Linked DNA regions of Rattus norvegicus. The protein of the gene in region 2 binds, or shares a complex with, the protein of the main gene of each other region. Links are inferred from orthologs where the notes say so. Each region holds a gene or a part of one and is shown on either strand. Other genes may lie near its edges. The genes, in order: Drc12 and Drc1.

Region 1 (4,606 bases), on a different chromosome or scaffold from region 2:
CAACAGACTGTAGACGTCTAGAGGAGAGCCTTCGAGGTCCACTAGTCCATGCTGGGCCTTGTTACTGAGCCTGGGAAAGAAGGGGCTAGGATGGGGACCTACCTAGCCGCTCCCTTAGACCTCTCACTTCCTCCTCCAGCCGCTTGCTTCGGGTCCCCAGCTCCTTTTGCAGGGCTTGACGCTGGCGGCTCATCTCTGAGGTAGGAGCCGTAGGCAGCAGGAACCAAGGTAGGGATGGAGGCATGAAGAAAGGAAACAAAGTTACATGTCTCAGTGGAGTCTCGGTGGAGGAACAGAACCAAGAAACTCGGGAGACCTTGAAAATTTGGGGGATAAGAAACAAGACCCTTTCCCCCATATTTAGGGGGGATTCTGGCAATTCCTCCTACTTACTCCCAAAGATGAAGAAGATAAGGGCTGTGACTATATTTTGTATCACGCAAACACTAAGCACGGCGCATTAGACACTCTAGAATGTGGGAATCCACCTTCTACCAGGGATCTATCTTTGATTCTCAGGACACTGCCTACGCACGGAAGTATAGCAGTTGGAATTCCTCTTCATTTCCCGTCCTTGGATTCCCTGACCCTCTTGCTTGTCCTCCTCCAGGCCCATTTCCTGCCTACCTGATCAAACATACCTGCATATACAGCCCGCCCTTCACTTTGGGTTCTTTCCAGTTCAGCTTCCAGCCCTTGTAACCTCTGTTTCAGCCTGTCTTCGGAAGCCTTGGCTCGGCAAGCCTCTTCCCTCTGTAGAGCTGTGAATAATCTCAGAGCCATGCTCAGGTCTGGCTGAGGATGCCATGGACTCAGTCACCACAGCCTTGAACTATGTGTCTCTCTGGGAACTTGACAGGTGTCAACCTCTTATTCCGTGTCTCTCCCCCCATCCCCCTTTGAAACCCATAAAGTTTCTATTCCTACAGAGTCAATAGTCACTCCCTGTTCTGGTTACTAAAAAACAATGGCTTGCTTCCCTGAGCTGCAGGTTAGCTTCATGGTAGACTACTTAGCTCTCACGAATGGGGTTGTGATTACATTCCCAGAGTCAGGGGAGAAGAACAGCTTCTTCATCACCTTCACTGCCTACCCTTTCTTCACGATCTTTGCCAACAGAGAATGGCTGGCTTGGTTTAGCACCCCCTGGACATAGTTTAAACTGCCAGTTCTCCAAGAACCCAGAAATGCCCCATGTGCCATGGGCTGCGTGAATAGTTCTGTGTCAACTTGACACAAGCTAGAGTCATCAGAGAGGAGGGAGGAGAATGCTTCTCTAAGACCTGGCTGTAGACAAGCCTATGGGGTATTGTCTTAATGAGTGATCGATGGGGAGGGTCCAGCCCACTATGGGTGGTGCTGCCCCTGGGCTGGTGGTCCCGGGTTCTATAAGAAAGCAGGCTGAGCAAACCACGGGGAGCAAGCCAGTGAGCAGCATCCCTCCATGGCCTCTGCATCAGCTCCTGCCTCCAGGTTCCTGCCCTGTTTGGGTTCCTGGCCTGACTTCCTTCAATAATAAACTGCTTTGGAAGCACAAGCCAGATAAACCATCTCCTTCCCAAGTTGCTTTGGTCGTGATGTTTCCTCACAGCAGGAGGATAACCCTGATTAGGACATCATCTCTGCTGTCTCCTGAGGCTCCACTCTTCTTACCTAAGTGGTCCTGAAGCAGCTCCTTCTCTAGCAGCACCAGCCTGTGCTTGGCCTCAGCCTCCACACCTGTCATGGCAAGACCACAAAGTCTTAGGCTATCTTGATCTCGATCCTGCTCCGTCTTCCATGCTTCTTGCAGGATGGAGGAAAAATCACTGAGGGAGGGATACTCAATGGCAAAAATCGGACAAATTCACTGCTTCACTGCCTTGTACTTGGTGGGTGCTCAAAAGAAAACTGTGACAAAGGCAAAGAGCTAGATGGGGCTCCAGGGGGATTGAAGTATTCTCCGGTTCCCCAGCCTGGTGGAACCTGGACTCAAGGCTCTGAAGAGGAGGGCAAGAAAGCTTCACTTGAGCTGGAGAGATGGCTCAGCGGTTAAGAGCACTGACTGCTCTTCCAGAGGTCCTGAGTTCAATCCCCAGCAACCACATGGTGGCTCACAACCATCTGAAATGAGATCCGATGCCCTCTTCCGGTGTGTCTGAAGTCAGCTACAGTGTGCTCATATACATAAAATAAATAAATATTTTTTTTTTGGTTCTTTTTTTCGGAGCTGGGGACCGAACCCAGGGCCTTGTGCTTCCTAGGCAAGCGCTCTACCACTGAGCTAAATCCCCAACCCATAAATATTTTTTTAAAAGAAGGCTTCACTTTAGCCAACTGTGGTGGCAGTGCCTAGTGCCAGGCACTGGGAGCACCAGACAATCCCAGCACTAGGAAGACTAGGAGGATATGTTTGAGGCTTGCCTGGGTTCCATCGTGACCCTGTATCAAAAGAACAAAAGACAAAACCAAAAGAAACCCACTCCATTTTGTTGCCCGATGGGCTGGATTCCCTCTGAGGACCTTTGTGTGGACTGTGGACAAGGACACACAGGGACACTGCCCTTTACCCACTGTGACTCACCAGGACTTGAATTCTTTTTCTTCTTCCGTGTGGCAGCTTTTCTCCCCTTTCCTTTGGTTTTAGGTGGCATCCTGCTGTCCTGGCGAAGGGAAGACCTTCTATGTGGATCAGCAGACAGACATGCTTTCCTGACTCTTAGACCAAGCTGGGAGTCTCTGGAGCTTCAGAATTCTAGTCTTCCAGTGTATCTTACACTTTCTAGAAGCTTTGCTTCTTGGTCTCCTGGGACCCTTGGGGAGGGATGGAGTCAGTGAGGGAGAATAATTCTATGTGCAGCAGTTAGCCTCTTGAGAAACTTCTGGACCTGGTCCCTTCTCTCTCCCCAAAGTATGCCTTCTCCCCCCTCCTATCTACCTGCAAGACTCTCTCTTGCTTGTGTGGTGTCTCCCTGGGGAATGCCATGGGGACAGTAAAGAGAGATCCAAGCAGATTGAGCCTAGGGAGGAGCCCGGGTCCTGGGAGCCAATCCAGGGTGTAAAACTTCCTCAAGAGGCAGGACCAAGAACTGGGATGTTGGGTTTCTGGAGACTGCAGGTTGTCCGGGCAACTGGGAAACAGGCAGGTGGTGAGCTAAACCAAAGGGAAGCTTCTCTTCTCACGTCCATGTCCCAGCCCTAAAGAAAAGCTTTGGAGTTGAATGGCTATTTTTCATGTCTACACTGCCTGAGACTCTCTAGGCTAGGAATCTAGAAATTTAGTCTTGGAGAACAGTGTTTTACAGACATAGCAGAAAGGCAGGGACAGTAGCCATGATGGCTACTTTATATCTGGAGTTCTCGAGAATACAGTGATGTTATTTACTTTGAAAACGAAGGTTCATGCTTCAAAAGGCTACTGTGATATGTGAGGGAAACACTTTCTGGCACAGGTGTTGAAAGTTTTCCACTTACAAGATGTGGAGCCATGGACTTCAGGATGTTGACCCACCCAGAGAGAGGAGCACACATTAGGCAGAGTCCATGAGTTCAGCTACTTAATTTTGCTCAGCTTGAATTTCTTTTTTTTTTTTTTTTTTTTTTGGTTCTTTTTTTCGGAGCTGGGGACCGAACCCAGGGCCTTGCGCTTCCTAGGTAAGCGCTCTACCACTGAGCTAAATCCCCAGCCCCTCAGCTTGAATTTCTTGGTGTATACGTTTTGTAGCTCCTGACTTCGGTGGTGTGTTTGCAGGACCTTTTTTCTCTCCCAGTCAATCTTGCCTCCTCCCCCTATTTCTTTATGAGGTTTAATCTGCAGCCCCCAGGCACCCTGCAGCATAAAGTTGGTTAGGGCTCCCTCTAGTGGACCTGCTTGACCTTCTGCATCCCCTATTTGCAGTTTAGTAATTTCTTGGGCGATATTGGGGGAGATTCCCTTTAGCGGGTGCTTTTTAGTATCTTATATATAATTAAAAATTGATTGTGGGCAGAGAGGACGACAGGTAGCTTACTACTGCCTCCCCTCCAGCTGGGAGCGCTCCATCTGGAACTGTGCCGTCGCTGGGCGCCATAATGTCAGCATACATAGAATTTAAACAAGCCTTCCTCCCTGTGGATTATGGACCCTACAGATCCTTTTTAGGCACGTCTGTCTATTCTAGTCCCTGAAATTTTTGGCCAATTTCATATTACCAGAAGCAAATCTGCAGGAACAAACACAAGATGTGGGACTATACAATCTCACCTGTACAGAGCAAGCAGGTCAATGCCTGCTTATTTTAACCCCGTGGCACTTTAGATATTGTAGAAGAGTTTTATTTTTTTATTTTTAGTTGATATATATATATATATATATGTGTGTGTGTGTGTGTGTGTGTGTGTGTGTGTGTGTGGGTTTGTGAGCAAAGTGCCAGAAAAAGAAAAAGGGTTACAAGGAGAGCACTGGGGCCCCTTGGAGTTGGAGTTACAGGTTTCTGTGAGCTACCCGTCAGTGTGGTGCTGGGAACCAAACTCAAGTCCTCTGAACAAGCAGTACTCACTTTTAACTGCTGAGCCATGTCTCCAGCCCGCACTCTGGACATTTTATAGAGCAAAGAGTCCTACTTGTCTTTGTGATGCTTGTAGCCCC
Region 2 (3,806 bases):
GGAGGGAGAAGAGGGAGGGAGAGGAGGGAGAGGAGGAGAGAGGGAGAGAGGAGACTGGAAAAGGAGGACTATGGATTCATAAGGAACAGAAAGAGGATTCCATGAGACAATTTTTCGTTCAGGGTGGAAAATTTTCGTTCCAGGGACTTGGAGAGCTGAAGGGTGGCCACATCAGCACACGAATGTAGCCAATCCCTTACCGCTGCCGCTTTGTCTCCTCTTCCTCAACCCTCCTGTGGATCTCTCTTATGTCTGCAGCCACCTGAATATTTGTCACCAACTCAGTCCCACAGAGCAGGAGTTTAGTCAGTTTCTGGAAAACAAAGAGATGGCAATCTGTGAAGCTAGAACATTCTGGGCTGTGCGATGGCTCACTGTGTAAGTGTCCTTTGCTGCCAAGCCTGAAGACTTTAGTTCAACCCCGGGAGCTTACACTGTAGGAATCAACTGCCACTAATTGTCCTCTGACAGCCACATGCAATGTGGCATGCACAACCCGGGGCACACAAAATAAATAAAATGTAATTATAAAAAAATTAAGGCTGGGCATGGTAGTTTATGTCTTTAATAGTAGAACTCAGGTGGCAGAGGCAGGGGCAAGTGGATCTATGGTTTTAAGGCCAGCCTAGTCTTCACAGTGTTTTGTTTTGGACAGGATTACTCTGTGTAGCTCTGGCTATCCTGAACTCCCTTTGTAGACCAGGCTGGCCTTGAACTCACAGAGATCTGCCTGCCTCTGCCTCCCCAGTACTAGGACTAAAGGTGTGTACCATCGACCAGCCTTACACAGTGGATTCTAAGCCAGCTTGCCTTGGACTCCCCATCTCTGCCACCCTGCCCACCTTGCATTTACATGGGTTTGGGGATCGGAACTCCAGTACCTGTGCTTCTGACACAAGCACTTTGGCCGCTGAGTCACCCCCACCCAATTTCTCATTTGTTTGTTTTTGGGGCCAACTCATACTGTATCCTAGGCCAGTCTTGAGGCTGAGCACTCCTGCCCCTGTCTCTTGGGTCCCCATATTTATGCGCTGCCTTTTCTGGCAGGAGCCCACAGTCTGAAAGCTCACTCCTAGGGAACCCCAAAACAAGATAGACTCCAGTTCAGCCCCACTTAGAGAACGAAACACAGGTGTACTTCCTGCCTGCCTGACTATGAAGACCAGGCTAAGAGACTCCGCGGCCACCAGTCGGCTCATACCAGTCGGCTCTCTTCTTTCTGTTTGTAGCTCTTGCTTTGCTCCTCCTCACTCTCCTTCTTGCCATCCAAATACTCTCCCAGAGCTTCCCTGTGGCAGAAACAATGCGGTCATGAGGGCCGTACTCTGTGTTTAGACAACGCCTTTAACCCCAACACCAGGGAGGCAGAGGCAGGTGGATCTCTATGAGTTCCAGGCCAGCCTGGTCTACAAAGCCAGTTCCAGGACAGCCAGGGCTATTACAGAGAGAAACCTAATCTCAAAAAACCAAAAACCAAACCAACGAACCAAACAACAACAAAAACCCACACTAGAAGCAAATAAAGGAGAATGGAGAACCTCAGAATACAAAGCCATCTTTGAGTAAATCTAGTCAGGTGAAAAGGACTGGGAGCTATCAAGTCCCCTGATGGTTGGAGCCGTCAGTTTGACAGAATGCAAAATTACCTGGAACAGGGATCTGGACTGTGTGTGTGGCTGAGATGGGAAGACCCAGCACCCGCTGTGGAAGACATTTCCTGGCTGGGATCCTCTGTACAAGGCCCTTCACCTCCCACCCTGCTGAGAATTATGAGCTGACGTAAATTCTCTCCTTTTTTGCAGGAGCAGGAAAAGGAACCAGGTGTGGACACCGGCTGATGCCATCTGCCACATTTCCGGCCTTACTTTCCTCTGAATCCTGCCCTTGGGCTTCATATTGGATTCTAGAAGGGAGCATGTGTGCTTGGTAAATGGGCTTTCACAGACACTAAAACCAGCCCAGGGCAGCATGGACTTCCTTATCTTTGGCAGGCCCTGCCTCACTGACTGGGGCTGCGATAATGATCAACTGGAAAAGCTACAGCTTGAGAGCTGCCAGCTATGAAAGCACAAAACCCTCGGGTCAGAACAGATGGACCATCACTGTCTGTCAATTGACCTTCCCAATGGGCAGCCAGGCCGGTAGCTTCCAGACGCCTCAGCATAGACCCCAGGGAATCCAGGTGCATCACGTCTTAGGGTTTCTACTGCTGTGAGGAAACACTATGTCCAAAAAGCAAACTAGGGGGAGAAAGGGTTTAATCAGTTTAAGCTTCTAAGTCTTCATTGGCAAAGGAAGTCAGGACAGGGATTCAACCAGGGCAAGACCTGGAGGCAGGAGCTATTCAGAGGCCTTGGAGGGGTGCTGCTCACTTGTTTGCTCCATGGCCTACTCAGCCTGCTTTCTTACAGAACTACCAGCCCAGGGGTGGAACCACCCACAATGGGCTGGACCCTCCCCCATCAGTCACTAAGAAAATGCCCGGCAGCCCAATCTTAAGGAGGTGAAGTTTTCTTCCTTTTTGCAACAGGGCCTCACTGTGGAGCCCAGTCTGACTGACTGGCCTTAAGCTCTTAACCATTGAGCCATCTTTCCAACCCTTAAAAATCTTCTAAAATAATACGTCTTTTCTAAAACTACATTGTAGAGCTGGAGAGGCAGCTCGGTAGTCAGGAGTGCCCGTTGCTCTTCCAGAGGACCTGGGTTAGATTCCCAGCACCCGCATGACAGCTCACGACACCTAACCAATCTGGTTCCAGATATGCACAAGGGGTATATACACGTACGAAGCCAAAACACTGACAAAATAATTACATTACTTTTTGTTCCTCCACTGACAGGAAGACATGCTACATACGGTGTGCATGTGAAGTCTCAGCTTGGAGGAGTCATGCCTCTCCTACTTCCTGGGTACCGGGGACAGAGGTCACGATCAAAAGTGTCTTTACCCGATGAGCCATCCCGCCAGCCCTCAGATCTTTTGAAATACCAATTCCAACTCACACCAGCTCCTTCTGTAATTCTCTCCTGACTTTGGTTTTATCTGAGTTGGGGTCCTTGGAAGAAAAAAAGGAGACTGTTCTGGGCGGCCTCTGAGCCAGAGTGGGGCTGTGCCTGCCACAGCTGACAATGCAACAAACACAAAAGGAATAGCCTAAGAAAAGGGATTCAGGGCTGGGGAGATGGCTCAGCGGTTAAGAGCACTGACTGCTCTTCCAGAGGTCCTGAGTTCAAATCCCAGCAACCACATGGTGGCTCACAACCATCTGTAATGGGATCTGATGCCCTTTTCTGGTATGTCTGAAGACAGCGACAGTGTACTCACATGCACGAAATAAATAAGTCTTTTTTAAAAAGGAAGAAAAGGGATTCCGTTTCTGAGGATTTCTTAGTTTGTTTTACTTTGTCACTGCATAGCATTTACAAATGGCAATAAACAGGCACTTAGGACCTGGAGGATGGCTCGGCACTTAAGGGAGAGTCCTGAATCCTGCAGATTGTTGTCCATGTTTACAATGTTCTGTTGCAGACCTTCAAAGGTCACCCAAGCCTGCAGTGACCCTGGTTTTTGGGAAGAAGCCTCGTGGATAAGCATCCTTAAAACAAGGAGCCAACGCCAGGCAGCAGAGAGGACCAGCATCCACAGCGGGCATAGCCTCAGAGCAGGGTTATCTATCTCCTAGGAAGCAGAGGGCTTCGCTCAAGCCATATGGACTTCTTCCAAGAAAATGGCAGTAGGCCCCGGCTGGGGACAGGAGGCAGAGGCCTCCATTCATGCCCTTGGCCCACTGGGGCGGTTAGCTAGC

The links.
Region 1: Drc1 (region 2) and Drc12 share a complex: the UniProt entries of both Homo sapiens proteins name them as parts of the nexin-dynein regulatory complex. The link is inferred for Rattus norvegicus from reciprocal best matches to the Homo sapiens genes DRC1 and DRC12.

What each region holds. Positions count from the first base shown.
Region 1 is NC_086026.1:53,473,001-53,477,606, reverse strand, and holds the start of Drc12 (coiled-coil domain-containing protein 153), read right to left. Parts: upstream 2,949-4,606; 5' UTR 2,634-2,948; coding exon 2,564-2,633; intron 1,720-2,563; coding exon 1,654-1,719; intron 762-1,653; coding exon 642-761; intron 196-641; coding exon 103-195; intron 1-102. UniProt on the Homo sapiens protein: Component of the nexin-dynein regulatory complex (N-DRC), a key regulator of ciliary/flagellar motility which maintains the alignment and integrity of the distal axoneme and regulates microtubule sliding in motile axonemes.
Region 2 is NC_086024.1:31,769,070-31,772,875, forward strand, and holds part of Drc1 (dynein regulatory complex protein 1), read right to left. Parts: intron 1,290-3,806; coding exon 1,202-1,289; intron 314-1,201; coding exon 201-313; intron 1-200. UniProt on the Homo sapiens protein: Component of the nexin-dynein regulatory complex (N-DRC) a key regulator of ciliary/flagellar motility which maintains the alignment and integrity of the distal axoneme and regulates microtubule sliding in motile axonemes.